Linked DNA regions of Styela clava. Each later gene encodes a partner of the first gene's protein in a complex. Links are inferred from orthologs where the notes say so. Each region holds a gene or a part of one and is shown in the gene's direction. Other genes may lie near its edges.

Region 1 (8,140 bases):
CCCTCTTGGTTTCGATCTTTCACTACGCAGTGTTTGCCTGTTTGTGCGTGCATACGTGTGTAGAGAGGTCCCCAACCCTAACACGAGTTAATTAAGTCTCTATCATAACGTCGCTATTATGAAGTCGCCATTATGACAGTAGCTGTTGTGACAGTCGATATTCGGCCTGGATACCAATATCTCGAACCTTTGCAACGGGTTCGGTCCAGTAAATTATGTTGTTAATTTGTCAAAACTAGGCTATGATTTTACATAGTCATCAAAAGTAAATATTTTTAATCAACAGTGGCTTTATCATACTCACCCAGCGAAGTAAACCAGGTGACGTGACGGATAGAAAGTTTTTGTGACACGATATTCGGCCTGGATACCAATACCTCGAACCTTTGCAACGGGTTCGGTCCAGTAAATTATGTTGTTAATTTGTCAAAGCTAGGCTATGATTTTACATAGTCATCAAAAGTAACTATTTTTAATCAACAGTGGCTTTATCATACTTACCCAGCGAAGTAAACCAGGTGACGTGACGGATAGAAAGTTTTTGTGACATGATTCAATAAAATACCCTGCTTCTTTTTTAACTTACCGGTAGCATGTTGCACACGTAGGTTACGCGCATTACTTTTTACGTAAACGAAACGATGAACCGTAAAATCTATCGGAGCGTGTTATCCCTGATGAAGCTAAAGAATGTTTAATGCGTAGCTATTTAGTAGTGTTTTGTTCTTTATTCCATCCATGTACATGCTGTTTTCAGTACAGATAGGTTTTATGTCATATTGAATATATTTTTTCACTAGTATTACCGATCTGTTTCGTATTTAGCGTTTGGGTAATGTGGTTTGAAGAAATAAAAAGGAAATAAAACAGCAAGATGATCAATATTAGCAAAGAGGCAAGATGCAATGATTTTCAGACTAAACTTGGTCCGTTTGATGCGGTTCATTGTACATGCTACGAGTTGGGGCACACTTGGAATTCTTCATGTATATCTTCGCAGTACGACATATTTCGGAAGGCGCTTGTATTCTCTCTGAAGCTATATGTTCCCTTTTACACTCTAATAGCAATATGGAAACTGAGAAGCACAAAGTTAAACAGGAAGAAGCTTGCAAGAAATACCATAATTGCTATACTACGTTCGACATTTTTTCTTACAATGAATTCTACATATTTTATGATGGCATTTTGTTGGTATTACAAAATTTTCGGAAAATTCCATGGCATTTTTGGCCTCGTCGTCGGATTTTTTTGTTCGTTTTTTAGCATTCTTATTGAAAAGAAGTCGAGACGAGGCATGCTTGCTGTGTACGCACTTAATATTGCCATGCAAACTATATTCAAAATGTTGACATCCAGAGGGTGCGTGGAGCCTATCAATGGAGGAGTAACCTACTTGTTCGCTGTTATCAGTTCCTTATACATGGGGCTTTACAGAGGTTCAAAATTGCCTACTTTCATGCAATCAATTCTTGCCAAAGTATTCGGGGAAGAACGAGAATTCTTTACATCTATCAATGAAGTCTATCAAATCAAGCAGAAGGTAAATATGTCGTCTGGACATAAGCAGTTCATTTTTCACCGATTGTGCTGTCGACATACAAGTGGTTGCTTGTCCAACGCCGCATCAAGTTCGGTCAAACATTTTGCTTTAGGCTATCTAATGCAATTGATATTCTGTTATCGTGCCATTTTCAAGGCTTTAACAAATAGACAAAGTTTAGTATTAAGAAAAGTCGCTTTTGACTTTTCGTTGGCAAAGTTTTTCTGTGCTTATACTGGCTTGTTTAAATTGACCAACTGTTTCCTTAGAAGATTGATAGGACGTGATTATCATGAATTATTTGGAGCCATTTCTGGACTCGTTGCTGGATCAAGTTCTGTATTTTACCCTAGCACAGCAATTACAATGTACGGATTGTCTAAATTGCTTGAAATACTGTGTATGAAGGCGGTATCTGTAAATATATTGCCCTATTTTTCTAATTTTGATGCTTTACTGTACGGCTTATGCACTTGTGTATTAGTTCAAGTGTGTATTTTTGAGCCCCATAATAATGTTCCTTCGTATTGGTCATTTATGAGAGGCCTAAGCGGATATAAATTTACTTTGATTTTCAGAAAATTACTTGATAGATTCGGCAATAATGCATCGAAATTGTATCCTGGTTTTATTCCAAGCCTTGACACTAAAATAATTAAAAGCGACGCCGTAAAAATAATTTTAATGCAGCATGTTCAACATGGCCTGCAAAACTCTAATACATGATTAAAGTTTAAGGAAATATATAGCTCATGTAATATATATATTCAGTACATTAGTGGTTGCCAGGTCAACGCCCCTCAAACTCCCTTTGAAAGGGCTTCCCAAACTAGGGGCTGCGGCCCTGGAAGGGGCCGCAAATCGAATTTTAGGGGCCGCATAGTGAACACCAATTTTGCACGAAGTACTATATCTATTGTACTTTTTCAGTCTTTTGATTCGAAACACAATTATTAAAAATTGTGTAAAACAAAAATTTTACGATTCCTGGTACATTTCTATACCGTGTTTCCCCAGAAATAAGACAGTGTCTTCAATTTTCTTTCGAGAATAACACTAGGGCTTATTTTGGGGGAATGTAGAAAATAACGAGATTTTTTAATATACAAAATATGAATAGCTATTTCCATTTACCTATTTAATAGAACGTTTTCATTTAAAATACCTGCTACATATAGATTATTGAAGTAGAAAAGTTTTCTCGCTATCGACTAGGACTCAGTGGTTCTCGAACTTCATTGTATTGTGACGCCCTCCAAAAATATTCTCAAGTCGCGACTTCACGTAAAAATACGTATGAGATACCTTTTAATAAAAGACCTTTATTGCAATGAGTTTCATATAAACGAACAAACAAAACCTAACGGAATTCAGTGAAATCACATTTAATAGGCCATGGTAGAAAAGCCTGCTTTATAAAAATACGAAATCGCAAGGGGGATGGGAGTGCGCAACGCTTCTTGAAAAATAAAGAAAAAATAATCTTTATCTACAAAAAAACGAATTTTCGGAATTAAACTTATTTATTATAACACCATCACAAAATTGAAACGACGCACTTCCACTGGACTAGGTAAAAAAAAATGCGCTATCAACGAAGTCTTTTTTAAGGGTAGCGCTTATATTAAAACCATTTTTGAAATTCAGGCTAGGTCTTCTGTTAGGTCTTTTCGGGGAAACATGGTCATCGCGCTTGCATACCAATGCATATTCTGATCGTAAGACCCGATTAGCTAAGTGCGCCTCTAAACATATCTCATATTTTATTTGTTCTAAATGTTTTATTCGCAAATGATTTGTATACAAATCAAATTCATTGTACCGTTCTATATTGTTTACTTTCTGTTACGTTGGGGCCTATTGCCACGTAACAGAAGAAGTAAACCACACATGCTGCAATTTCGTAGGCTGTAGTTTATTCATTTGCTGAACCGAGTTGATCGAACATGAGCTATTTTTTAGCGTTTTAAAGAAAAACTAGGCAGAGATAATAAAGAAAAGTTAACTTTGATTAGCTTCAAAGGGCATAAAGTACATATAAACGATGACTAATTGTGCTTTATTTTGAAGCAGCATATTTTTCGTTTAGGTGCTTCATGAGCTTTTCCCTGATAATTTGGAGCGCACAAACTGATGCCTTATGCTAAGTTTTCTCAATAAGAGTGAACAATTACGGATAGGGACCAGGCCATCGGTGGTCAGACATTGTAATTCATCATTTAGGCCTGCATAAACAAACATTGCGCCACGGCTGGACTTGCTATGCAGCAAAAAGAATTTATTGAATAATTAAGTAACCTTAATCAGGGCAAATATGTGCTTGTTTTTGTTATTGAGTAGGCCTACTAAACGTTGGGAATTAGCTATGTCAATGAAATATCAAAAATTCATATTTTGAACTGTCCCTCTTAATAATCATTACCTCGTGCTCCGAAAACTAACAAAATAGAACCGAGGTCCTATTCCATGCAACACTATGCAGGCGAACAGCCTGCTTTGAACCTCTAATTTTTTCAAAGTAAACTTATCGGCCACCGCCAACACTCAGTCAAGAGCACCGACGGAGAACCGAAGGTGAGGCGAACGCAACCAGCGACGGACCGGCGGCGCTCGCAATTGACAAGTGCAGTTTTAAGTACTCTGTGGCGTCTGCAGCTGCCGCAAAACCATGGCGATATTTCCATACCATGGCCGCTACAGCCAAACCTATGGCGACTGACTTTTTAGCTGCCACAAACCAATGACGAGCTGCCGTTAAGGTACCGTACCGCGGCAGCAAACTGAAAACCTATGGCAGGTAAAATTTTGCTGCCGTAGCTACGGCAGGTGGGCCGTAAAGACAGGGCTGTCCCTTATGGTGACAAATATTGGGTAAGTTGGAACGTTTTTCCTATGGATACAGTTTAGGTGGATTTGGGGTTAGGGTTTAAGTAGATATAAATCCGCATGATCAATTAAAATCTGGTACATTAATTTGTGAATATACCGTCAATACTCATTACTGAATAGCGCTATAAAACCATGGCAAGAGCTGCCGCGGTTCGTTCGTGGCAGGAGCTGCCATGAAGTGGTAAGAACTGCGCCTCGCACTTGATGCCAAATGTTAGGTACTGTAACTGTTACTGTGTTAAGGAACCTGTTAAATTATTGTGACTTAGTTTTCAGACTTCTATAACTGTGCAATGATTTCCGATCTAAAACTCAGCAAGAAGGTTACAAATGCAACGGCAAGACTTGTTAAAAGTTTAACATGCTATGAAGAAGGAGGCAGAAATCATGATGCTTGTAAAGCGTTTGCATTGTCCAGGTTCCAGCATCATAGCTTTCTTGATGTTAACGAATGCAAGGTAGAACGTTGGATTGATGGGATGTGTGAAAAATTTCTGATTAATTCACAACCGCGTAAAGCAGAACTTCTTAAAAACCTCAAGGTGTCATTTTCTGAATCGAACATTTGTGAGTCATCTGGCACTGGAAGTCGAATACATTACTGTCTTCTGTCAATATTGTTGAATTTATCAGAAAACCCTGTCAACACAGATTACGTTCAACTAAATTCTCCACAAAAACAAGACTGTGGGTTGTTTGACTGGCCCAAATATTTATTACAAGGGGAAGAACTTCCATATCCGACACAGTGGGCTTGGGATGATACCCCACCAACTTCTGAGGATGAAGAACTAATTTTACATGATGTCCTGCACAGAAATGATACAACACTCAATACCTCAATAACCTTAAAGTCCAAAGAAAATAAAATTAAGAACATTAATAAACTACAGGTATGTTGCGAATTAGTACCAGAATATTGGAAAGCTAACAAAACTAGTATACACTGTGATTTGGAAAGTTTCCGCAAACTATCAGAATCTGATATTAAAGAAGTTTACATACTCAGAGAAGTTTTGTGGCTTCTGAGTGGGGAGCAAAATCTTCATGTTTTTCCATTTGTAAATGGCAAACACGTTCCAAATGCAGAAATTAAAACTAATCATGCTACTCCAACATCATATTTGACTGCTTTGTTAAAGATCGCGAGGTATGGTGACATAGTGCGGAATATCATCAATTTCACATTCACCACATCACAACAGGAGTGTCAAACCTATCAAGCATTCTCAGAATCTCTTCTAAATTTCATGAAATCATTCCGTGCCGACTTAATGAGCCTGCAGCGGCGTATCTTTCTTCATGAGGAAACTTTATTGTTAGGAAATGTTATAAAAATTCTCTCTCCTCGGTTACATGAACTTTCAGTAATTCATGATGTTTTGCAAAACAGTGTCTCTCTAGACAAACCCAGCGATTCTAATGCTAAAAAATCATCTCGCTTATTGGGGACTTTGTATAATAGCATATTGGATCAATCTGATTGTCTTACAAAATCTTTGAAGCAGTCGCAATTATGGAATGTTCTCATTCAACTTTGGGCAGATGCTCTTTGTCCTTATTTTGATATGATGGATGAATGGATGTCTCATGGATCCCTTATTGACCCTTACTATGAATTTATAGTACAACGCTCACCTATTTGTCACGATGTCAAGTCTGAAGCTTTTTGGAATGATGCATTTATTTTGGCATCAGAAGATTGTATGAAACATTTATCGTGGTTGCGTAGTGTTCTGCACAATGTTATTGTTGCAGGTAAATCAATGGAGGTATTGCTTGCCTTAGGAAAAGTTGAGAAAAATGAATCTAAATTAAGTTTTCATGATGCATTTATTCATAGTATGTCTACAAGCGTGAATACAATTACCAAAAATCCCCAAAAGGAAAATCTGTTTGAAGGAAAGAGTGCATGTGATAGCATGTTACTGTTGAATTTTAAAAGATTGTTTGAAGATTCAGATATGCCTGATGTTGGATTTAATGCAACTGCAACAAATGTTGACAAGCAAATACATGTCCCCACCATAATTCAAAGTTCACTTCATAATTTGGTTAAAGTTAAGTCTCAAACTGCTGATCAAGCCTTGCTGCAAATGTTTTTAAATCAGTACAAACTTATTTTCAATATTGAATGCTTTCATAAATTTTACCTAATGGAATGGGGTGATGTTATATTTGACTTCACTTCAACCATTTTTCGAAAAATGAGTTCTGGTGAATATTGGGAAGACATTATGAGTCTGAGAGCATCTCTTCAGGAGGCAATATCCGACAGAGATCCCGAAGCTGCTCTTCCTTTTATAACAGTGACTTTGAATAGATCAAAACATACTACAAATAATGCTCATAATTTGATTCAGGCGACAGATATTATAGAGTTGTATTTTGATATCAACTGGCCACTAAATGTTATTTTTACCGACTGGGTCAGAGAATCCTATAATTCAATATTTGGATATTTGATGCAGATGAAACACTGTTTGTTTTGTCTACAAAATTTGAAGTTTAACACTATTCAGCCAAAGTCTAAATCTGAAACCGGGTTCAGTTTGGTATATGCTCATCGGCTTGCCCTACTTCGTTCAAAAATATTGCGACTAATATTGCATTGGCATAATTTCGTTATGACGAGTGTAATCCAAGCAGAAAAAGAGGTATTTTTCACCCACATTGGTGCAGCAGACAATATTGATGACATTATTAAAGCTCACCACAAATTTTTGGACCGTGTTATGACTTTGTGTCTTCTACATGAAAAGAAACAAGCAGACAAGATGATACAAGGAACACTGCGTAAAATATTTAATCTCGCAGTTATTTTACATCTAAAGTGGAACAGAGGACTTGAGTCTATTTCCATTGAGAGTTTGAATAAATATGAATCGGAATACAAGGAATGCAGTGATTTCCTTGGTATTATTTTACAAAACCTCGTTAGTAGAGGAGCTGTACCATTGAGTCTTGAATCTCTGGCTTTTTTTTTGCTGTCATAATAATTTTTAATAGGATGTGCTTTCTATTATATCATTTTTTTATAGCTTTGATGGTAGGACAATTGAGGTGAATGTCAAAATTAATGAATACAAATGTATTGTACTTTTTTCTTCGAAACACCATTAATTGAGGTAAATGTTGAAATTAATGAATACAAATGTATTGTACCTTTTTCTTCGAAACACTATTAATTGAGGTAAATGTTGAAATTAATGAATACAAATGTATTGTATTCAAGAGGCATGCTGGACTCCTTGCAGCCGCAGGGTGGTTCACGTGACCGCAGGTCGTTTACGGCTTCCTCCACCATCAAGCTGAAAACAAGTAACTGGATAATCCCATACCCGACCTGGACTGCTAACCGGATGAAAGGCCGTGGTTCGCAATATGATTAAGCCATTTTATTGCCTTTCCTCTCCCCCAGGATAAATATAAAAATTCTATCCTATGAATAATGGCAATGCTACTAGCCAAATATCATTTCCTTGGTAAAATTTCAGTAATTCCACTTGGTTCAGTGTTCAACCTGCCATTTGTGAGAATATCTATATGTGGATAACAAAGCCTTAAAATCACGGGATTTTTTAGCAAATAACTGCGGGATCGGGATTAAAAAAAACAGTCCATTTCCTGGGATCGGGATTTCCCGGGGTCCCAACATAGGTATGACTGATCAGACAATCTCGTCAGAATCAGAAAGTACTTTGAGGC
Region 2 (8,004 bases), on another chromosome or scaffold:
ATAGAATTTAGAGTAGACAAAAACTTTCAGATAACGTTTGTTTGTAAATAACAGTGACAAAACTTGTTTTGTAGCGTAATAATGGGCGCTCCCGTAGTATGTGAACCAAGATGGCCCTGAGGACACCTGAACATAGTAATATACCAGGCCATTTTATTCCAATTTTCTTATTTTATTTTACTACCAGGAGTTCGGGGACTGGCCAAGTGACTCCCGTAGTATTTGTACCTGAAATTATGGCCCAACCTTAACCCGGTACACATACTACGTTCCGGTGTCCGCCACCTAATATTCTGCTCTATCAGGTGTTCCCTCAGACCTATTTGACATATGCAGTACCGGTACCGTATTCTCCCTTTTTAGAACACAAAACAGTCATTGCATCAATATGAGCTGAAAACAATTTTTTAGCCTGTTTTTTAGGTTTGCTTAACGTCAGACATGCACTTCGTATGTTTTTGATGTGTTGGCCATGCCTGCTTTTCTATTGGTTTTATTGAGTTTTTCTTATTTGATCAAACTTTCAGACATTTTCTGCTTCTTCGTTATTGAAGTTAGAGTTGAATGAAAGAGTATGGTGCATTGTTCGAATCACAGTTTCTGATAAAACAGACAACTTTTACGTACATGTTGTAAAGATTGTTGGCAATATGAAAGATTGCATAAATCTTGGGAGGAATATATCAGGTTTGTCCTCAATGTCATTTTTTAGTTAATGTTCAGTTAATTACGGTTTTGATGTTCGGTTAAAAATGGGATCGCCATGCTCCAACAAAATATATCCTTGCTGTTGCTATGTCTTTTTCACTTTTTTCTTTTTCTTTTTCTGATTGTTTCCCAGTCAGTATTGACTAGAATTGTATCTACTAAATTATTTTAGTTTTTAGGCTGTAGGTCAAACAGTGATTGCTGATATCTCTGTCACAGCATTGCGATCACACATAAGTCGAGCTTCTGATTTTATTGTTTCTCTTTTGTAAGAGATCTTTACACTTTCTGCCATATTACGTAAGACTACCTTGTTTTTATCAAACTTCATGAAAATTCTTCACCAGTTTGTAAAAATAAACACAAATTGTTAAAGGTAGACTCAACAGTTTGCGCATTATTCTAAACGCTTGTCATCGGAATGAAATTCTGGGTCCTGCTTGGTTATGACTCCCTCTACCATTTATATAGTCTAAGTACATGTATATGAAGCGTTTAACTCAGCAGTGTGCTGCAGACAGCCCGTCCCACCAAGCCATTCAGTGTGGCCCATGTTAACATTCAGATTTTTCCCCATCAAGCATAAAATCCTAACTGGACAGCTCACGTTTAAAAAGCTGCACACATGGGTAAAAAATTAAAAATACATACTAATTTTGCTCTTGTCGCTGCTTTAAATCTTTTGGCATTTTGCCTGGTGCCTTTATTACTGGAAGGCTAAGCGATAGCCATGTTCTCTTGCATTTTTCACAGCACGCTGGCTAATTTTTTAATTTGTTGTGTACATGGAAAAACTATAGGCCCAGCTAAATGTCTGAAGTTGGTTCTTTGACCTAACGACTAAAATGTCGCACACCCTTGGTTCACTATTCACATTTCCTCTCCCATGTGATAAATATAAATGTCCTATTCTTGAATATTTTTAGTTCTTCCAGAAATATCTCCAGATCTTGGCACTCTAATGTCTGACATGAAGCAATATTATTCACAAAGTACAAGAAGGTAAGTTGTGATGATGGTGAGTAATAGTTTGGGTACTCCCGAAGTATGTGAAGTGAATCAAGATTGCGGATACCGGAACATAGTATGTGTACCAGGTTAGGTTTAGGTCATAATTTCTGGTACAAATTCTACGGGAGTCACTTGGCTAGCCCCCGAACTCGTAATCAAACTAAAAAAGGAAAATTGGAATAAAATTTTGGCCCAACCCTAACCTGGTGCACACTATGTTCAAGTGTCCGCCATCTTGGTTCACATACTTCGGGAGTACCCAAGTAAGACCCAATTCTGAATGAATATACCTGTATGCTTATGCCATATTTGATTTTGTTCTGCTTCAAGGTTGAAGGATTTGATTCAACCATGCAAAGGAGAGATGTACGCTGTCCATGTACCAGAAGAGAATTGTTTCTACAGAGGAATGATATTAGAAGTTTCTTATTCTACTACTTCGTTTACCACTGCAAGGGTATTTGGGAATCCTAATAGATTGTAATGATGACATGGTCGCCTTGCCACAGTCCTCTAAGTTTTTTTTTTCATGAGATACCTATGATTGATATGAATATCAAATATTATTTTGATTTAGTTTGTCCTTCATATGATAGATAATGGTTTGATTTCACATGTGTTTTCATGGTAAATATGGTTTAAATAGTTTGTTTTTATGTCTACACGAGGCACTGAACTAGAATTAATTTAATCTGACTTGGAACATGATTTGTTTAGACTTGTTCTGCACACAAAAAGAAATCTTTCTTTGTAAGCTATGAATCATTTTTTTGCATTTCCAGGTTTTCCTTGTGGATTTTGGAAGAGAAGTCATGGTCTTGGAAAGGTATTTACACCCAATGCATTCAACGTTTATGCATTTACCAAGACAAGCTGTTCAGTGTTGTTTGAATGAGACCGAAGGTACATAAATATCGCATCTGCTAGGGAAATGAGATAATGACATTCTCAAAAAGGCAATATTCTAAGTTGAGGAATTGGCCATTGCACCGATCTTATACTGTTACAATTTCGCTTGCACTGTTAGAGTCCATCCTCATAAGTTCAAGCTTTGATTTCCTGTGATCATTAAATATTTAATTATGAAAAACATGAGTCATGTTTGGAAATTTCGGCGCATAGGAAAATCGTAAATACACAACTATTTTTGAATATAAACAGTTTGGGTTAGGTCATGCTCTTAAATACTGAATCTTTTTTAAATAAGACGATAGACGATTTTTCATACGGTGTTTTTCCTATGCGGCGAAATTTCCTGCAGCCAATTTGCTTTAACCGAAAAACATAATATTTCATCAGATTATAAAGGAGAAAATTTGGGTTCAAATGGAACTCGACCACACCTAGCAATGCAGATTCATGAAAAATGTGAGGAGACTGATGGACCGCTAATAACATCACTTTTCAGGATAGACAAAGTAAGCTGAATAGTACGTCATGCCAATGCTCTGCTCTCATTTTTGAACACTTGCTAATAAGCAAGTTACGTTTACTTATATATTTTTTTACTTATATAGATTATAGTTAATTTTCTTATGGAAAGTGTATTGACTCTCAGTTTATTTTTTCCAGGATGGTCTTCATCGTATAACCCAATTTTGAATCTATGATGACTGTATGGAAGTAGAGTGACAAATCAAAAGACTTTTTTGAAACTGGTCGAACTCTTATGTATCGATTAAACTTTGTAGTGATCACAAAGTGTGATCCGATGCCTTAGTGGGGTTCTTATGTTATTATTTGTGCCAAGCAACATTCACAAAATGAATTTCTTTTCTTTCTTTCATGAATAATAAATTCATATTCACAAGTTTTCATTGTTGTAAATGAAATATGACAGGGATAGAATAAGGTAGGAATTTCGTATTTGTCTTGAGGGAGATGAACGCCTATGATGCAGCATGCGGACGTGTTTGTTTCTCTCAAAATTTGACTTTTTGAAATTTACCCAAATGCCATTCACTAACATGAAGTTCAGTTTAATAGGCTACCATATTAGGGCCAGTCAGTAGTTTATTTTATCACATACCAAAAGTACAATAGACAAAAATAACTACGAGTCACATATAAAACAATACTTTCGGTGTGCAGGGAGGCGCGATAAACCAGAAGAGGTTATCGAGCAGCGTCACCCTGGGGGAGTGAGTCTAAAAATTAAATCATAGTGAGAAAAAAGTCAAACAGGTGGGTCGAAAATGGGAAATGTCGACATCGAAAAGCATCGTGCCTCTGGTGGCGCAACAGCAGAACTCCCATGTTAATCTGTTTAGCAATTCATCAAAAAGAGATGCCGATCTCACTGCTCCATACGTTTATAAGTGGAAATTTAATCAACGAGTCGGTGGATTCCGATATACTGTATTAAAATGAGAGCTTATGACGCATGCCATGTTGATTTGGCATAAATAGGATCAATATATTTTATTTAATCAGCATCACTTTAGGCTTCGCGTGGTCATGTAGGGTAAGCATCTCTCGAGGTTCCTAACGAATTGGATATTGGCGAATCGTACGAGAGTTATTTCTCTGTTGCAGTTGGGCATCGGTATGTTAGTCGTTGTTGGGCATGGAATAGCGGATGCGTGTGTTCTAACAATAGGTGTCTAGGCTTTGTGAATATAAATACGCAATTTAATCGTTCATATATTAAATTTTTCTCTATTTTATTACGCATTGTTAAGTTCTATTTCCTTTCGGTATAAATAATAATACGGTATAAAAATTCTGATCAATCAACTGATGTGACTTTTGAACTGAATCAATAGCGCCATCTATCCATTACCTTGACAACGAGCCGGCGGGTTTGTTTTTCAACTGGCAGTTTTGTTGTCGCTTCACCGGTCGTTAGGCGCTTCTGGTAGTTTTGGACGTAATTAGCAGGAACAGAAAAAAATAAATATGGTATGTTTTATTTAAGTGTATTTTTTAAATTGGGTAATAACGTTATCGGAAGTTTTTGTTATTGTGATCTCAGAACGTCGCTCATCTTTTTGTTGTTGTTTTTACAGTTTCCTGGATATACACAAGAGTACATAGAGCCTTCGGTGGGTATTTTCCCTTCTTAAACAATTTCACTCATTTGTTGTATAGCCTTATTAAGAAGTAGACATTGTGATACAAAGTTAGCTAATTGAGTTAATAACTGGCGCGGCGATGTGGCTCAACGGGCTAAGCGTTAGGAATACGCTCGCCACGGCACCTCTAATTACTCTGCGTGGGTTCGCAGGTTCGAATCCCATGCAGGGATGGTTATGTGCGAGAGGATTGCTGGACTCCCCGCCGTCGTTGGGTGGTTCACGTAACCGCTGGTCGGTTACGGCTTCCTCCACCACCAAGTCCATGCTTCCGAAAACAAACAATACAGTAAAACTAATCCCATACCCGACTTGGAATGGTAACCGGACGAGAGGCCGTGGTTCGCCATATAGATAAGCCATCTTATCGGCTTTCCTCTCCCACGGGATAAATATGTAAATCCTATCATATAGGAATACACTTGTTGGGAAATCTGTGACAATTTGTAGTTCTTCATTTGATATAGCTGTTTTATTGACTGTGTTTGATAATTACCATATATTTCAACAAATGTCATTGATCCCCACGTTTTAAATACATTCAACGCAGCGTCCACAACATAAAGTTGCGAGTGTTTGGCTCAGTATTGGAGGCATTTTACACAAGTCATGTATGAGAAAAAAAATTCTTTCTATCCAATTTTCGTTTTATATAAGCAAAATTTTCCTGTCAATTGTAATTTCCGTCAGTTTATCATAAAGTTTAAATTCCTCTAAGAGTCACAGTTCTTACCACTTCATGGCAGCTATTGCCACAAACAAACCGATGGTGACTCTTGCTATGGGTTATGACGCTATTATCGGTATATTCACAAAGTCATGCACCAGATTTTAGGTTATCATGCGACTTCAGACTCCACAAAATACTTAAAACTGCTTTTGTCGTTAATGCTAATATCCCTTTTTAATTCAAAACAGACGGCTCAAGATCAGAGGTACAGCTTCATTGCAGAATGGTACGATCCGCAAGCTGCATTGATACGAAGATATCAATTTCTTTTTTATCCAAAAGATAACAGTATAGAAATGGTATGGATATTTAAATTCTTTAATATTTAAAAAAACTCTCATTTAAGATTTATTCGATGATCGAGAGCAAACATGGTCATTCCCCATTAATAATAACTGGAATACCATGTTGAATAAATAGTATTTCAAAACTTGCAACTTAAAAAATAGTGTTTTCTGTACTCCAGGCTGATATACAGATTAGAAGTTTGCCATATTCATCAATGAAATCAGATTTTGATTCACTTTTTTTAAACAACCAGTTAATTGTATTATGGCAATTTGTAGTATTAGCGTGAATCAGCTATGCAAAATAGCAGATTATTGATATTCTTCATCAAAATTTTGTATCTAGTATGACATCAAAAACAGGCGAAAGTTTTTGAGTCGAACCAAATCTGACACAGTTAAATTGGAAGACATGTACATTGGAAGTAAAATTCATGTCTATTCTCGTCAACTAACTTTTGTGGATTTTGGAGACAATTTCACCGAAAGCAAAGTGGGAACAAAGAATGAAAGGTAGGTTATATGGAAATAAAAATTTTTTTTATGTCAATTTATAATTGATATAAATAAATAAGTGTTTCCTTGACTTAAACATGATGATTTGGATAGGATTTACATCATATGGCAAACCACAGCCTCTCGTCCAGTTACCAGTTCATGTCGGGTATGAGACTAGTTGGCGAGTTATTTGTTTTCGAAAGCATGGATTTGATGATAGAGAAACTGACCAGTGATTATGTGAACCACCCTACAGCGGCGGGGAGTCCAGCAATCTTTTCGCACAAATCTATCCCCACGTGGTTCGTTCAGTTCAGTCATTTATTTTTGTGCTAATGCTACAACTGGTTTATGGGGTATGATATCTTGGTATTCCTAGAATGTGTTTTAAAGCCAAGCCCCTAATCAACCTTACGTTGTTCTTTATTAGATTTGTTTTGTTATTAATTTCTTTACATTGCAGTAATGGTGTTTTTGAATAAATAGCAGTGAAATTCTATCTTTTCTCCTATAATTTTTGAAGTTTTTACATGGTAATAGCATACCATAAAAAGCTTGCCGAAAAAACTAATCGAAATGCATTTCAGATCTCTTTAGTGATCATAGACTGAATTTTTATTATCTTGTGATTCATTATCTTACTTCTGACAAAAACTCAAAAGCCGTGTTTAAATATCAACTGATATTTTGCTTTGTAGAACACTTGCAATCATAAAGCCAGATGCTGTGAATAAAGTTGGTGTGATCTTGAACCTCTTGAAAGCAAATGATATTCAACCATGCAGAGCAAAGATGGTAAAACTTGTCAGGAAGAATGCAATGGACCTTTATGAAGAACACCGATCTCAACCACATTTCAAGTAAGTCTCAAATTCCCTCAATAAATTCAAGTAGGTATATTTAACAGTAACATTGTGTATGAAGAAGTCTGGAATAGAAGTTTTTAATACCGAAGTATTTTTCAGTATTTTTTTGGCTTTTTTCCACGAATTAGGCTTAGATAGAGCTACCAATATATTGGTTCTATACATATTTCCCTGGAAAGCCAATAACACCTACTGCCTCTCGTCTGTTACCAATTCATGTAGTGTATGGAAATAGTTACCTAGTTGGCTTCATGATAGTGGGGAAAGTTGTAAATGACCAGAGGTTACATGAGATGCGTTATATTGGGGTAGAAGCCCAGCAATCTGTTCGCACATAGGTATACTCACCGCAGATTTCGAATCCCCTTAAGGTGCAATGGCGTGTTCCTTCTGTTCAGCACAATGCCCAATCCCAAGGAGTAGGAACTGGAGAATATCCTCCTAACGAAACTTAAGGCAATTGTAGTGCTCTATAACTTCCATTAAGCAGCCTTCTTTATTATAAACATTTTCAATTTTCCACTTTTGCAGTACCTTGCTGGATTATATGACAAGTGGCCCAGTAATTGCAATGGAATTGATGGGATCCAATGTAGTTAATCAATGGAGAAGATTACTTGGACCTGTAGATTCTGGGAAAGCTAAAGAGAGCGAACCTGGAAGCATTAGGGCCAAGTTTGGAACTGATGGAGTAACAAATGCAGCACATGGATCAGAAAATCAAAAAACAGCACAGAAGGTAATGATTGTTTATAAACCTGACATTTCAACCATTTTGTTTTGTAATCTCTAGCAAACAGCAGTTTCCAATATTACGTTGTTAATGATAA
Region 3 (7,673 bases), on another chromosome or scaffold:
GGTACCGGTATAGTTTAGTGCCACATGCACTTCTAGTTGGCCTGGCTCAACAATTTTTGCATATGTCAATCCTAACCCCCACCTGACTACATCACCGAAAAATTACGTCATTTCGATGTCACAGTGGCGTAATAGGGCCCACCAAAGTATGCGGATGGTCGTCCAAAACGCGCAGACTACCGTACCGGTATCCCCCAAAATTGAGCAAGCTATTTCTTTCGTTCTCTCGCCACAACGATCACGATAGGAGAGAGATCGCCGGGTCTCATGTAGTTTCTTACCTAACATACTTCTAGTGGGCGTAGCATGACAATTTTTTCACGTATCAATCCTAACCCCCACCTGACTACACCATCCAAAAATTACGTCATTACGACGTCACAGTGACGTAATAGAGCCCTTCAAACTATACGAACTGCCATCCAAGACGCGCAACCGAGCACCCGAAATCGAACAGTTATTTCTCACGTTTTCTCGTCGAAACAATTCCAATAGGAGAGAGACCGATAACGTCAGTCAGTTCTTTATCGTCGGCGCCAATGCCATTTCGGTCGATCGGGCGTATATTTGGCAAGCTCTATGACGTGATTGTGATGTCGTAGTGATTTAATTTTTGGTTGGCGTAATCAGATAGGGGTTAGGATTGACATATCAAAAAATTGTTATGCTACGCCCACTAGATGTACGTTAGGTACGAAACTACACGAGACCCGAGATCGGCGCAGATCCCATTTCGGGCGATCGTAATTATACTTCGGCAAGCCCTATGACGTGATGGTGACGTCGTAGTGACGTAATTCTGGATGGCATAGTTAGGTGGGGGTTAGCAATAACATATGCAAAGTTTGTTATGCTAGGCCCACTGGAAGTACTTGTGGTACTAAACTATACTAGACCCGAGGTTTCTTTTCAGTTGATTATATTTTGAACGCTGTTTTTCCTTGTGTTCCGACTGGCTAATTTTTATCGATAATTGCTTTTCTGTTTTGACGCGAGTTTCGCGGGCTTCACTGCATCTGACGTGTCACGCGTGGCTCTTGCATACCGACTTTACGCGCCGAAGGACGTCCTTGTTTAATCTTATTATGATGTTAGTGGTTTCGCATTATCCGCTTTACTGACTTAGCGTGTGGGTGGCATTTGGTCTCGTTAGGTAGAGCTGTGTTGAGGGTATCGTAACCGGGGCCCCATATGACCATCGTCATCATTTATTGCTTTAATTGTTCATGTATTTTTATATTGCATTCCTATTAACTGCTTTCTAAATTTAGTTGCTATTTTTATTCTAATAACATTATCGTTCACGTTACCTGTGAGTTTCTTGTCGATTTAGGCCTTTGGAGCGTTACAATATGTAAGTTTATCTTCTATTAACTATCTGGTTATGCATTTTCTTTCCGCCCTCATCTTGTGATTGTTTATTGATTAATGATTATTTCATTTTATTTACAGTCAACCGTTTTACAATAAACGCGTATGACATGGAACATCTGTGTGCCTAAAGCTAAATCTGACAGGAATCTCATGTGGCATCACATTTTTTTAAAATACTACTTGAATTAAAAACGTGTACTTGATGTATGACTGGATGTCTGGGGTGTTGAAGCCAAATCGTATTATTGCATCAGATAATAAAATCCAAATTCATATTTTTGCACATTCAGCCAATACTATTAGAAATCCTTCACCAAATACAGAAATAACTGATCACACTAAATTCATGCATGCGATTATTCAGATTATATCCTATTTTCATTAGTTGAATCATACTATTTGAGTATAATATTAACATGGCCATTTCAGATATGTTTCCTTTATATACTGATATATCCTTGAGTTGTTTCCTATTGAAATTGATATATATACCGTACTGTGTCGAAGGGTAAGTAACTTTTTGTTTTCGATATTGCTTTTTAATAATCAGATTTCCTGAAAAAAAAGTTTTTCCATAGAATTAGAGAGTTTTTAGCAAAAAAACTGGTTACATAACGGCCATGATTCCTTTAGATTATTATCGAGACAAGCATGGCGTGATATGACCAATCTGCCTTCCCTGCTATCCCTGAATTGCAATTCAGATACATATGATCGGGGATCATAAGCCTATTATTTTCATGTAGTAGCTCTCTAATGAATCAACTATTTCACTGTGATTAATACACTTTCCAATGTCTAATAGATTGACAAATTGGAGAATGACATGGCAAAAAATATATTTTGGATTATCGTAATTTAGTTTGTTCCAGCCTCCCTGCTAAAATTATTGAATATTAGATTAAATAACAGGTTTCAATAACAGATAGAATATTTGGATTTATATACTTGTAACTTAATATATTTGGTAATGAATTCTTAATTTTTGGAATATTTGCTTTAGGAATTGGAAACTCATTTAAAAAAAATATACCCCGGTCCTGATTAGATTCTGAGATTACTCCGAAATTCGTCTTCTTTCTAATCAGATCACGTTTTTTGTACACGGTGTATAGAGATTTTTATAAACTAAGAGTGGAACAAACCAGAACCTGTGTCTATTTATCTATTGTAAGTGGGTGTATTGGGTGGTATCTGACTCAGATACTAAATGGTTGTATCGTTACCACCCAGTCATCTACCGAAAACTTTTCTTATCATTTATATTTACCTATTATATGTTTTCTGGTTTGACGAAAAAATAAATTCTCTCTCTCTATTACAGTATTCTGATATTACCGTTCATAGAGACGGATATGTTTATCTGTGGATGTCGGGACAACGGTAAATGAAAAACTTAACACGACTTTATAGAATGGCCAAATTTATTGATATTGGAGCAAATTTGACTGATCCTGTGTTTAGAGGAGTTTATAGAGGTAAAGAGAAGCATGAAGATGATTTTAAGGATGTCATTGATCGAGCGAAAAAAGTTGGATTGGATAAAATCATTGTAACTAGTGGATGCCTTCAGGATTGCGCGGATAGCTTGGAAATATGTAAAGCCAGTCAATTTTTGTTTACAACAGTGGGATGCCATCCTACCAGATGCCAAGAATTTGATGAACATGGTCCTGAAGTATATTATAAATCATTATTTGATATTGCCTCTAGCAATGGTGATGAAGTAGTAGCCATTGGTGAGTGTGGGTTAGATTATGATCGCTTGCATTTTTGTCCTAAGGAAACTCAGTTGAAGTATTTTGTTAAACAATTTGATTTGGCGGAACATACAGGCCTTCCAATGTTTTTACATTGCAGAAATGCACATGATGATTTTTTGGATATAATGCGACAGAATCGTAATAGAATATCTGGAGGTGTTGTTCATTCATTTGATGGCACACCTGAAGAAGCGAAAGCAATAATAGACTTAAATTTGTTTATAGGAATAAATGGATGCTCTTTAAAGCAAAAAGAAAATTTAATGTCCATTTGTTCTATCCCATCAGACAAACTTATGATTGAAACTGATGCACCGTGGTGTGAAATAAAACCAACGCATGCTGGGCATTCTTTTATTAAAACAAAGTTTCCAACGAAAAAGAAATGGGAAAAAGACCATTGTATAAAAGGTCGCAATGAACCGTGCAATATTGTTCAAGTATTAGAAGTAATGGCTGAAGCTAGAAAAGAGGATTTGACGGAACTGGCGACCACAATGTTTGAAAATACAAAAAAGTTATTTTTTGACAGGAAAAACGATGTCTGATTTTAGGATATAAAGCTAGATTTATCACTGAAAAAATCATCTTGCATTTTGACACATACAGTTCTATTTTTAAGTTTCATTATTGCACCAAAAAAGAATCAAGAGTTCATATTGACAATTGACATTCTAGAAACATTTTTTGTGTGCAAAAACTAGAATTTACTTCGACAACAACAATTAGACTTCCTGATGTTTTTGAAGCTGATTTTTGTATCGCTTGTTTTAAAAGTTCTATCAATATGAAGGTGATCTTTAAAATGATAATATTTGCCTATTTTGTGATATATTGTTTATTTCAGCAATTCTGCTCAGATGCTTTTTGATTTTAGTTAGATACATTTATCAATCCTTTTCATTTGGCCACTGATCATGGCTAATTAGACGATTATACTTAGTTACTGAGACTCTTTTTGAGTATCGTATTTGAAACCATTTTCAAAACAAATATAGATGAAAATGTAGTTCGAATGGGGATAGTTTGGGTTACATTTATCAATTTATTCAAAAACTCAATTTTCAGCTTCCTAAATTTGTTACATGACTTTCTAATATAGTATCATCTTTAAATAATAATGGCAACGAAAAATCGAAATCAGCCAACTCCTGAAGTTCTAATTAACGAATTGTGTGTATTATTGAGTGATGATAATCCAAGGCATTCCCAGAAGTTGACTGCATATGCATTAAGAATGCTATCGGACCTTGGAGACCAACCGATACCGAACTGCAATGAAAACACTGTTATTGATCGCATTAAACGAGATTTGGCCACAAGAGGAATGCAAGAAAAAGCTGCCAAAATAAGTGATCTTTATAGAAGACTTGCTGCTTCAGGTCGAATACAAAACCTTTGGTCTGTCTTATACCTTCTGAGGAGTTTGTCAAAAGATAAATCTAAAAATTACACAAAAAATACGTTGCTTTTTCGACAGGGCCTTGCTATATCGTCAACACCACTTATGGATTTGACTCCACCAGCAAGCCGTCTGCATTCCTCTGGGAATGCCAGTAGTGGATTTGGAACTGTTAATAGTCAAGGTACTATAAGATCATCAAATAGTGGTTTGCCAAGTAGCATTGATACCCCTGCAAACGATTTTCAAAGTATGTCTCTTGGTTCACGTCTTGCATGGGGAATAACACCTTCTACAGGATACAATTTGACATTGAAAACGGATCCAAGTACAACTGTACAAAGCAATGATGGAAAATATAAATCCAGTGTTCAGGACAAGTCAAGGGTTTCATCATCATCTTCTCATAGCAACAAGACAAAAGTTCCTGTGAATAGAATTGCAGACAGCACTCTACTTCGCGAACTTTTGCATGTTTTTCGTGGCACTGAAAGTGAAAATATTAAAATGAGTTCAAGAGAAGATGCATTTCGAATCACTCCGAAAGCAACTGTCGATAAGCGTACTGCTCAAATGGTTCATAAACTTGCAGAACTAGGCTGGTTGCATAACAGAATAAGAAAGTATATTGATAAACATAGTAAGGATTTAGCTTTCGGCTTAGTCGGTCAGGCTTTTTGTGCAGCATTGGTTCAAGAGTTGCAAGAGTATTACAGATTCTTATCTGTATTACAGTCCCAATCATACAAAGAAGATCAGGGTTTTGCAGGTGATGCTGGGAGTCGTCTAACTTTTTACAAACTCTTGGATTGGACATCTGAACCTAAAGAGAGACTGCAATGGGTCGCTATGCTCGTAGATAATTGTAAGGACAGGAAAGGTGGTGCCTTGGCATCCACTATTCATGCTTTTATGCAAACTGGTGATGTTAGCATGCGGTTGTTGACAAAACGTCTTTTGGTCATATCGACGCAACCAATTTTTTACATTTTGAGTCGATGGATTTATGATGGTGAACTACAGGACACATTTCATGAATTTTTTGTTGCAATGGATCCTACCGTCAACAACGATCGGTTGTGGTATGACAAGTATCACTTGAGACAATCTATGGTTCCATCATTTATGACAGACAGCCAAGCAAGAAAAATTTTACTTGTTGGAAAGTCTTTGAATTTTCTTAGGCTGGTTTGTCGTGATCGTACAGAAGTTGATATCAGAAACAAGCAAGAATTTCAGTTACCTGAAGATGCACATTTGGACAGTACGTTAGATTTTGGCACAGAGTTGCAAGAGAGAGTGGACGAAGCTTATGAGGCCACTAGTCGTTGCCTTTTGAATGTCCTGAGCGACAGATACAAACTTCTGACCCACCTTCGAGCAATGAGAAAATTCCTCTTACTTGGTCAGGGTGATTTTGTTCGACATTTACTAGACTTGTTGCATGACGATTTAGCGAGACCTGCTGGTCAATTGTACAGACATAACCTGAACGGCCTCGTTGAAGCTGCTGTCCGAGCCACAAATGCACAATTCGAAGATCAAGATGTTCAGTCTCGTTTGAACATACGTCTTCTGGAAATAAATCCAGGCGATACTGGATGGGATGTTTTCAGTCTTGATTATCACATCAATCAACCACTGAGTACAATTATCACTCCTGATATTATGCTACTTTATCTCAGATGCTTCAATTTTCTTTGGAGAGCAAAACGCATGGAACACAATCTTGCTACTATATGGACAGATACAATGGAACAATCCATGAGACTTTCTCCTCACTTGCCTGAACTTAGAGGAATACTTCACATGTGCCACACTCTTGCTGCTCAGATGGTTCATTTGGTTCACCAAATTCAGTACTATATTGCATTCGAGGTATGGGAATTATTTTGCGTTTCATGCGCTATGTGTATGTGTTTCTATCACATCATTTGAATTTGGGATTGGAATCATCAATCAAGATCTATAACCTGTAATGTCAATTGTCGACATAGGCTCAATGTTTTAACCACTTGGCCACTGCACTCAACAAATTTTTTACAGTGTTCGAAATTGTTATACTGATGTTTTTATGACAAACTGTTTCTTTTTTAAAGGTGCCTTATTCCTAATTTGGTTCAACTTTAACTTTCTTTTGTCATCTAGGTTTTGGAGTGTTCATGGGCAGACTTGCTGAAGAGGGTTGAATCTGCTAAAGACTTAGATGAAGTAATTGTTGCACACAGACAGTTTCTTGAAGCAATCATGAAGAGATGCTTACTTGATCAAGGATCGCAGAATTTATTGACGCAATTACGTTCAATTTTCGATCAGATTGTCTTATTCGAGACTTTAAAGGTAGAATCCTTTTATATTGGTTTTTATTGGTTGGTTTTTTCATTTGGAAAATTAATTATGCACTACTTTACATCAAGTTGTGGAAAGAGACTGAAATCTTTGGGTGTGAGATATACTCACTTGGCTAACACAAATAAGTCCCTGAATTCGTAATAGAACTAAAATAAGGAAAATCGGAATCAAATTATGGCCTAGCCTAGTACTCACACTACAGGAGTACCCAGTTTTGTTTCAGCCCTTATATATATCTAAGTAAGTAAGTGTTTATTTCGATTTTCCAATACAACAAAACAATACATGGCAAAACAAACAATTGTACGGAAAATCAGGAAAGGGGGCAAAATCTAAAAAAGATTTAAGACGTGCTGGTGCACGTGCCCACTTACGCCAAACAGCAAACAACACATTGAACTAAATTGAAAAAAAGGAACACGGAAGATAAAAGGAATCTATAATAAGTTTTCACATCCATTGCTCAACCATGAATTGTTGAGTTTGTTGAAAAACTTGTTCTGTTCCCCTGTTATTTGTCAATTATATAAAATGTGTTCCAGGGTAAAATCTATGAGAAAGCTATGGATGAAATGACGAGACGAAATCGTTATGAGAATTTCGACAAAAAGGGAATTTGGAGTGAGGATAGCGTAGAAGAGGCAGAGGAAATTGAAAAAAGAAGAGTTTTCAAGAAAGAAAATGTTCCAAAAATGAGAGCGCAATTGAGTATACGGGCTCAAACATTTCAGGTACTTGTTTGGTCATTTTTTAAATTTTGATTCATAACTGATGACGTTTTC
Region 4 (7,935 bases), on another chromosome or scaffold:
AGAAGCACGATCGCCTCTTTTAGTTTATGACAGGGTTTCTTAAAAGGGAACCCCGTCGTCCTTGGAGGCCACTGATCGGTTATCTGGGAGCACGAACAAACAGATGGAAATGCGAATATATAATAACAATGTATTTTTATAGAAGAGAAGAAGCAAAAGTGTTGAGAGTCTTTGGTAGTTTGAAAAGCATTGGCATGGAACATAAGAATGAACTACATTCTTTCCCAGGGATATTCTATAAAATGTAGCAATTTTCTCATTCTTGTTCTCGTGATATCATTATCTTTCACTGCGTCGTCGTGATCATCCCGCTGCATAACAATTCTCGCCAACAAATAATTGACTGTTCTCCACCGGGTGTATATCCACTTGAACCACTGGCGACTACATTAGCAGGCTTGTACTGTTAATTGCAACAAAAAACGGGTATTTTGAAATAGTACTCTTTATTTTACGCGTATGTTTCGACAGTATTTCCATACACTGTATATGGGTCGCGACCCAAAGCTGGGCTCAACAAATACCTAGAAGGTATCGATTTTATTTCCTAGTAAATTTGGTGCTTGCGTAGTTTGTGCACCAAGATTGCGCACAACCTGAACATAGTATTGTAACAGGTTATGGTTCAGGTTGTGCGTCATTATGATGCACAGGTTTGACAAAAAACACTAATACAAATATCGAGCCGTAAAAAAAGTGCTCAAGGCTGCAAACTCCACACCCATGTAGAAATGATGGGCAATGACCCCAAGATGAATACTCACAAATAAAAAAAACTTTATGTCTGAAATCAAACTTGGGCCAAAAAGGTCCCCTTATCTGCCGGACTAAGACTTTGGATGGACTTTGGATAATGAGAAACAGGCATATTAATTTACGGTCCCCCAATGAGTGTAGTGCCACATATACAAAGGCAAATATTTTACGGATTTTGACATTCTATCCCTATAGTCGGATTCGGAAGACTTTTGACACAGGGTACTCAGATTCTCAAAAAGGACAATGAAAATATTTGAGACAGACGTGTGAATAATTATGCACTACTTTAATGTGTGCTGTATTTGTGATTTCCATTTTACTCCCCTTTCTCTGCGCGACTATGACATAGGCATTTTACTTGTTCTGATTAAAATTTGGCTTTGTTTGGTGCCTATTTCAATTTTGAAAAGCGCTATAATTTTATAGAACACCCACGTTCTACCGAAGGACAAACGTTTAGACATATTGGGTTCCTATACATAGCCGTTGCTATCATTGTATTTAAAGTTTTCTTTTTTCGGAAGTTTGTCAGAAGATGCTTCTGTGCTGAGGAAATTGAATAGATCATTTCATAAACATTAAAAACGAAATTGACAATTACTCATATAATTTACCTATTGAGCTCATTGCTCATTACAATCATCCAATATGATTATAAGTTCTATTTAAAACGTAACGACAGATAGATGAGAGATGCATCCTGGAAATTAACTCAGGATTGTGAACGAATGCTTAATTATCGATTGCGCTTGAAGTCGAATCCATTCCAAATTTCAACAGTTAGAAAATTGAAGAGCCTATAAATATGGTCTTCTTTCATCCTTTTTCACATTTCCCCTGAATTACTTGGAGATCAAATACTATACCACTTCCTCCACTATGTCAAATTTCTGTTAACCAATTTTAGCGAGCGAGTGTTCAAAGATCGGTATGAGAACAGAAAACATTTTTCTTAATATTTCGCTGTTAGTGAACCGCAAGATGAAAAAGGTCTGGAAACATTGTAGGGGTATTAACATTTGAAGGATCTTAACATTGTTTAACGTCTTATGAATAAAGGTAGGACGAATACATGACGTACGGAAGGACATCAAATAACAAGGCTTTAGTTGTGTGGTACAAAAATACACTCATAGCGTACTCGCAAGCGCCATTATTACGGCTTTATTATCGTCGCTATTATTAGGCAAGCTCTAGTTCGTGATTGGGAGGATGCAGTGACGTAATTTTTGGATGACGAAGTCAGGTGAGGGTCAGGAATCATATATACAAAAATTGTTACGCTAAGCCTAATAGAAGGTATTGAGGTATGAAACTACACCCATAGCGGACAGACAGGCGTATTTAACACGATTGCATTATGGTCGCTATTATTAGGCAAGCTCTATTTCGTTATTGTGAATTCGCATTGACGTAATTTTTTGATGACGAAGTCAGGGCGGGGTCAGGAATATTATATGCGAAAACTGTTACGCTAAGTTAACTAGAAGTTATTGAGGTAAGAAACTACATCCATAGGTGCCATTACGAATAACGTCGCTATTATTAGGTAAGCTCTATTTCGTTATTGTGAAGTCGCAGTGACATAATTTTTGGATGACGAAGTCAGGTGAGGGTCAGGAATATTATATGCAAAAATTGTTACGCTAAGATAAGTATAAGTTATTGAGGTAAGAAACTACCGGTACATTCATAGGTGGAATTACTAGTAATCTTCGCTATTATTGGGCAAGCGTTATTTCGTGATTGTGACGTTGCAGTGACGTAATTTTTGGATGACGAAGTCAGGTGAGGGTCAGGAATCATATATACAAAAATTGTTACGCTAAGTTAACTAGAAGTTATTGAGGTAAGAAACTACATCCATAGCGGACACACAGACGTATTTATCACGATTGCATTATGGTCGCTATTATTAGGCAAGCTCTATTTCGTTATTGTAAAGTCGCATTGACGTAATTTTTGGAACATGAAGTCAGGTGAGGGTCAGGAATAATATATGCAATAATTGTTACGCTAAGATAAGTATAAGTTATTGAGGTAAGAAACTACATCCATAGGTGGCATTACCAGTAATCGTCGCTATTATTAGGCAAGCTCTATTTCGTTATTGTGACGTCGTATTGACGTAATTTTTTGATGATTAAATCAGGTGAGGGTCAGGAATATTACGTGCAAAAATTGTTACGCTAAGTTAACTAGAAGTTATTGAGGTACGAAACTACACCCATACCGGACACACAGGCATATTTATCACGATTGCATTATGGTCGCTATTATTGGGCAAGCTCGATTTCGTTATTGTGACATCGCATTGACGTAATTTTTGGATGACGAAGTCAGGTGAGGGTCAGGAATGATATATGCAAAAATTGTTACGCTAAGATAAGTATAAGTTATCGAGGTAAGAAACTACATCCATTGCGCTAAGGCAAATTAATATGTCGGTTTCTGCTTGTGAAAGCGTTCCACGTCCTATTAATAAAATGTGGCCCAATACATGATCAGTCTCTGGATATTAAATAACAAGTCTTTATGTCTGCGGCACCTAACCTCAATCATTGCGTGAATTAAATGTTCTTTCTGTTTGTCTAAAGCCTAGCTCAGAGCGGTATCGTATATCACCCTATTAATAGATCGTAGCACAATACATGAGCTATTGCTGGACATAAAATAATATGTCTTTATGTGTGTGGTACCCAACTTCAACCATTGCGTAAAATAACATGTATTTTCTGCTTGTCTAAAGCCTTGGTTAGAGTTGTATCGTATAACGCTCTATTTTAGATTGTAGCACGATACATGAGCTATTGCTGGACAGAAATTGGTCAGAATGGGATATCGTGAACGTTCCTTGGCGACAATTTAGTCGCTTGTGATTCTTGTTTATTTTTGAGCTCTGTACAACGACCCCGATAAGAGAGAGGTCGCTGACGTATTGAGTTTGTTGACATACTCGTAGGCGCCATTACGGGTGACCGTCGCTATACTTTGGCAAGCTGTATTTCGTTATTGTGACGTCGCAGTGACGTAATTTTTGGATGACGTCATCAGGTAGGGGTCAGGAATCATATATCCAAAAATTGTTACGCCACGCCCACTAGAAGTTATTCAGGTAAGAAAGTACATGAGACCCTATACCGGTACTCGTTTTTGGAGGACCCATTAAACTCAAACTGTTAAAATGAAATATACAAATAAAGCTAATTCAGTAATTATTAGAAGAAAGGTTCATTTTTTGCAAACTAGCCTAAAATGCCAGAACGTCTGCATGTTTTGTTGTGCACAAGCAGACAAGTTTGTATGTTGATCCTTCAGGTCTGCATGTCAATGTATTATGATAATGCTCACACTAGTTCTTAAAATGTTCAAACTTCACCTGCAGTTTTCTGGTATTATAGCAACTTTCTTGAATTACTTCACACGGTGGACTTAAAAAATATATATTACTGTAGTCTATTATCTATCTATCTTTACAGATATACGGTATATAGGCTATTATCATAAAGACATATATTCTGTCAAAAATGAGTTCTCAATTATCTGATGTTGGTATTTTCTCACAAATAATTTTGTCAGTCGACTGGCTTGAAGAAACTACACTTCTCAGTATATTATTGACAATATACTGCATTTGCATCCTACTGACTATTATCACTTGGAAAAGAATCACAATCATGTGTCTGTATTTTCTAATACTTTGCATTGCAATATATTTTGCTGAATGGATTAACAAAAGTGCCGCAAGAAACTGGAAATGGGTGTCTCCAAATCATCAATTTTTTGATTCTTCTGGATTATTTATATCAGCTGTTTATTCTCTTCCGTTACTAATTAATCTAATTATTTTATTAGTTCGAATGTTGACTTTAACAGCTTCTGAAATGATAATGGTCAAACAAATGAAATTGAAAAGTTCAGCTAAAGCATTGCAGAAAAAAGATTCATGAAATTATTGCTATTGTTTTTAGTTATCAATAATGCAATTTGTTATGAAATCCAGCTTAGTGATGTAGTGTCTGACAATCCATTGCTAAAAGTTTTTATAACTGTTTTAGTCTTTTATTTTTCATGAGCCATTTTCACAATTTCAATCTAAAGTCATTGTGCAGGCAGCCACTGCTGTGCAAGAAGCTACGATATTTTAGTAATAGTTACCTAATTTAATTAACCCTGGGTGTTGTGTATGGCACTGGTTTAACGTCTTTCAATTGTGACACCAATTTAGTCCAATCTCTAAAACTTTAGCCACAACCCCAACATGGGGGTAAATATTGAAATATAGTTACTTGAAGCTATAAGGACATCAATAGTTGGTCGAAAACCACCATGCTTTGTAAATTATTCGCACATGTTTACATTTTCAGTCAACTTGGTATTGTTTACTGCGAGTTTTCACACTACCAGTCACTGAGGGAATAGCATCTGCATTCAAGGTTGGCAAGGCAGAAATATGCTGTACTATTAGATATACATCACGTCACACATAGAAGAATTTAAACGCTCTTTTAATATGATTGATTACTATTTTATTCATCTATAATATTAATAGAGGGAACTTTGTATTTCAAAGCATTGATTTTTTAGTACTTCATAAAATATGTTGCACGACCTGATATTTGCATTGCAAGGATATCCTGGAAGTATTTTTAAAGAAACATCAAATGGTATTGTTAGAGTTGTTCCCGGCCTTCCATTCCTATCACCATCAGAAGAATCATCGTTAAATAGACTTCTCAAGCTTTCAACAAAAATTATATTTTTTCAAAAGTTCATTGACACTCACAATTCAACTTTATATGCAGAAGGAGCAGAAAAACATTCTGATGGATTGTTGCATGGATGTTACCTGCAAGCATTGTGTTATGGGCTTGAAGATGTATTAGAATCTTATTATCAGTCCGTTTTAGACATAGAAAAAGAAATACTCGCGGATCCTCTATTAACATTTATGCATGTGTACCATTCGCTAGAACATTATTATTTGCTTTTCGATGCGTTGTATGACTTGATATCTATCGTAAAATCAAGAAAAAGTCATGGTTGTCAGATTCTAAGTACCGTTCATCATGCATCACAAACAGGCAATCGTGTTGTGCTGCGAGCAATGCTAAGAATACAGAAACGGTTGCATTTAGTCATGTATCGACAACTTTCATCATGGTTGCTGCATGGTCTTCTTATTGACAGACACAAAGAATTTTTCATTTCCAAATCTGAAGAGAAAGGACCCAATGACTCTGTTAGCGTGTTCCAGGATACTTTCTCATCCTCTACTCTTGGATCTCAATTGGAAATCTTTTATATTCGAGCAGACATGCTTCCGACATATTTACCCTCTCGTGATGCTGATGTCATTCTTTTTATTGGCTCATCATTGCATCTTTTTGAGAAAGACCTACACAAACAACAAGCACTTCATGTTGGAGGCTCTAGCATGGCAGTTGCATTGAAGGGACTTTCTGCTGATGTTGAGGGAAAGCGCATGGACGGGATTCTCAAAGAAAATCAGCAAGAATTCATGAGGGATTTTCTGTGGTTGCAAAATCAAGATAGATTCTCTTTAGAGGAGTTTGAATCCAGGTTGAATAAAATTCGATCCACTGTAGCAAGAGAACTTTGGGATTTGTGTGTTGTTAAAGCAAAACTAGTGTCTCATTTTATGATGCTAAAAGACTATTACTTGCTTGGACTTGGAGAATTATATCTGGTATTTTTAGAAGAATCTGCGATAGTAATGAGAAAACCCCCAACAAAAACTACGGAGCACGATGTTAACCAGGCATTCTTGAGATCTGCCATCAAAGTACAACTTGAAGAAGATGGTGCGTTACAAAACTTCAAATTAGTTATAGAATCAAAATCTTCTAAAGAATCTGAACAATCTTCTGGTTACACATATGATGCATCAGGAATAATGGATTCTAACGATACATGGTCTTTATTGAGTATCACATTCCAAGTTAAATGGCCATTGCATATCATCTTCACACCACCTGTACTTTCAAAATATAACAAGCTGTTTAAATTCTTGTTGAGGGTTCGTAGAGCCCAACTTGCTTTACAGAATTTGTGGGCACTTCAAATGCAAGAGAAATGTTCACTTATATGTACTGATGATGATGATGCTTCTATCAAACAAAACATTTCTAATCTGACTTTAAGAATGCATATGAGTCATCTGGTTGACAGTTTGCAGTACTATTTACAGGTAATGTATTTTACAGTTGAATCTCTCTGATCTATCTCTGAATCTCTCCGATCTGAATAGCATCAAAATTAAACAGGATCGAATGCAACCGGTTATCTGGGTTTTTGCCATGAATATATAGAGAATTTATCGATACCATTTGTATTGAAGAAAGTAAAAATACTTGCTGATAAAAAACAACAAACCTGGTTAAGATATATTGAGAACTGACTTCATAACAAAATTGTAAAGGGATGCCCTGTATATCTAGGCAATATAGCACCACTTTGGCATCCCACAGCTGAATGTGCATTTGTATAATTCAAATGCTTGCCTTTGGTGTTTCTTTATTGAAGCTTTTTGAATTACTGTATAGTGCAGAAGTTGAATATATAATGAATTAATGCTTTTGTTCAGGCGGATGTATTGGAATCTCATTTTTCTAACCTGCTTTCAAAGATCAAGAATCCTACCTCAACCGATTTTGAGCAGATTGTGTTAGCTCATGATAATTATTTGACTGCACTTCTTGCTCAATGTTTCATATTATCTACCCCAGTTTTCAGAAGTTTACTTGGTAAGGAATATTGTTTTAATGATTAGACACTAGAGCTGGGAATTTCAGGGAAAAAACTTTAACTGTACCCTGACGTTTGGCGTAATAATTTACAATATTAGCTTATTGTGTCACAATGGTTACAAAGCAATTTTGTGTGATCTTATCTCGGTATCTCTCAAAAACAAGAGATATGCAGTGTGCTTCGGACAAGTATTTCTGTAAAACCCGATTCCATTGTTAAATGTCATTTATTTTCAGTGCTCGATGTGCAAATTTTACTTTAAGATATCATAAAGAAAAACAGCATCAACTGCGCACATTGAATAGACGATTTTGCAATATAAATGGTGAACAATATATTTTTACCAAAAACCGATTCTAAATTTATCATTGTCAAATTTTCATAATCAGCAATCCTTGTAATTCA

The links.
Region 2: gamma-tubulin complex component 5-like (region 1) and nucleoside diphosphate kinase homolog 7-like share a complex: the UniProt entries of both Homo sapiens proteins name them as parts of the gamma-tubulin ring complex. The link is inferred for Styela clava from reciprocal best matches to the Homo sapiens genes TUBGCP5 and NME7.
Region 3: gamma-tubulin complex component 5-like (region 1) and gamma-tubulin complex component 3 homolog share a complex: the UniProt entries of both Homo sapiens proteins name them as parts of the gamma-tubulin ring complex. The link is inferred for Styela clava from reciprocal best matches to the Homo sapiens genes TUBGCP5 and TUBGCP3.
Region 4: the proteins of gamma-tubulin complex component 5-like (region 1) and gamma-tubulin complex component 4-like are in contact, whole or in part, in a cryo-EM structure (PDB 9I8M), measured with the Xenopus laevis proteins. The link is inferred for Styela clava from reciprocal best matches to the Homo sapiens genes TUBGCP5 and TUBGCP4. Residues at the interface, in XP_018102626.1 of Xenopus laevis: His233, Leu234, His235, Leu238, Ile241, Trp242, His245, His300, Met301, Thr302, Asn304, Cys305, Ser308, Val309, Gln312, Ala392, Ile393, Leu395, Asp396, Lys397, Arg410, Leu441, Asp442, Tyr443, Asp444, Asn445, Val446, Gly447, Glu448, Ala449; in XP_018110859.1 of Xenopus laevis: Met1, Ile2, His3, Glu4, Leu7, Tyr12, Pro13, Gly14, Ser15, Ile16, Gln29, Pro32, Phe33, Glu60, Thr63, Gly64, Ile84, Arg87, Ala88, Arg91, Arg101, Leu105, Gln109, Leu112, Pro115, His116, Leu117, Val178, Gly181, Val182.

Annotation. Positions count from the first base shown.
Region 1 is NC_135253.1:15,000,032-15,008,171, reverse strand, and holds the start of gamma-tubulin complex component 5-like, read left to right. Parts: upstream 1-4,508; 5' UTR 4,509-4,725; coding exon 4,726-7,428; 3' UTR 7,429-8,140. UniProt on the Homo sapiens protein: Component of the gamma-tubulin ring complex (gTuRC) which mediates microtubule nucleation.
Region 2 is NC_135256.1:6,398,967-6,406,970, reverse strand, and holds the start of nucleoside diphosphate kinase homolog 7-like, read left to right. Parts: upstream 1-4,495; 5' UTR 4,496-4,617; coding exon 4,618-4,620; intron 4,621-4,727; coding exon 4,728-4,763; intron 4,764-5,711; coding exon 5,712-5,822; intron 5,823-6,156; coding exon 6,157-6,323; intron 6,324-7,006; coding exon 7,007-7,168; intron 7,169-7,705; coding exon 7,706-7,913; intron 7,914-8,004. Other genes in the region: uncharacterized protein LOC144425167, read left to right, coding at 528-687, 1,635-1,710, 2,050-2,176, 2,502-2,622, 3,019-3,137, 3,292-3,321. UniProt on the Homo sapiens protein: Possesses an intrinsic kinase activity. Displays 3'-5' exonuclease activity with a preference for single-stranded DNA. Does not seem to have nucleoside diphosphate kinase activity.
Region 3 is NC_135254.1:11,605,319-11,612,991, forward strand, and holds the start of gamma-tubulin complex component 3 homolog, read left to right. Parts: upstream 1-4,239; 5' UTR 4,240-4,257; coding exon 4,258-6,417; intron 6,418-6,687; coding exon 6,688-6,879; intron 6,880-7,433; coding exon 7,434-7,622; intron 7,623-7,673. Other genes in the region: deoxyribonuclease TATDN1-like, read left to right, coding at 2,762-3,685. UniProt on the Homo sapiens protein: Component of the gamma-tubulin ring complex (gTuRC) which mediates microtubule nucleation.
Region 4 is NC_135257.1:8,686,712-8,694,646, reverse strand, and holds the start of gamma-tubulin complex component 4-like, read left to right. Parts: upstream 1-4,706; 5' UTR 4,707-5,359; coding exon 5,360-6,970; intron 6,971-7,366; coding exon 7,367-7,526; intron 7,527-7,935. UniProt on the Homo sapiens protein: Component of the gamma-tubulin ring complex (gTuRC) which mediates microtubule nucleation.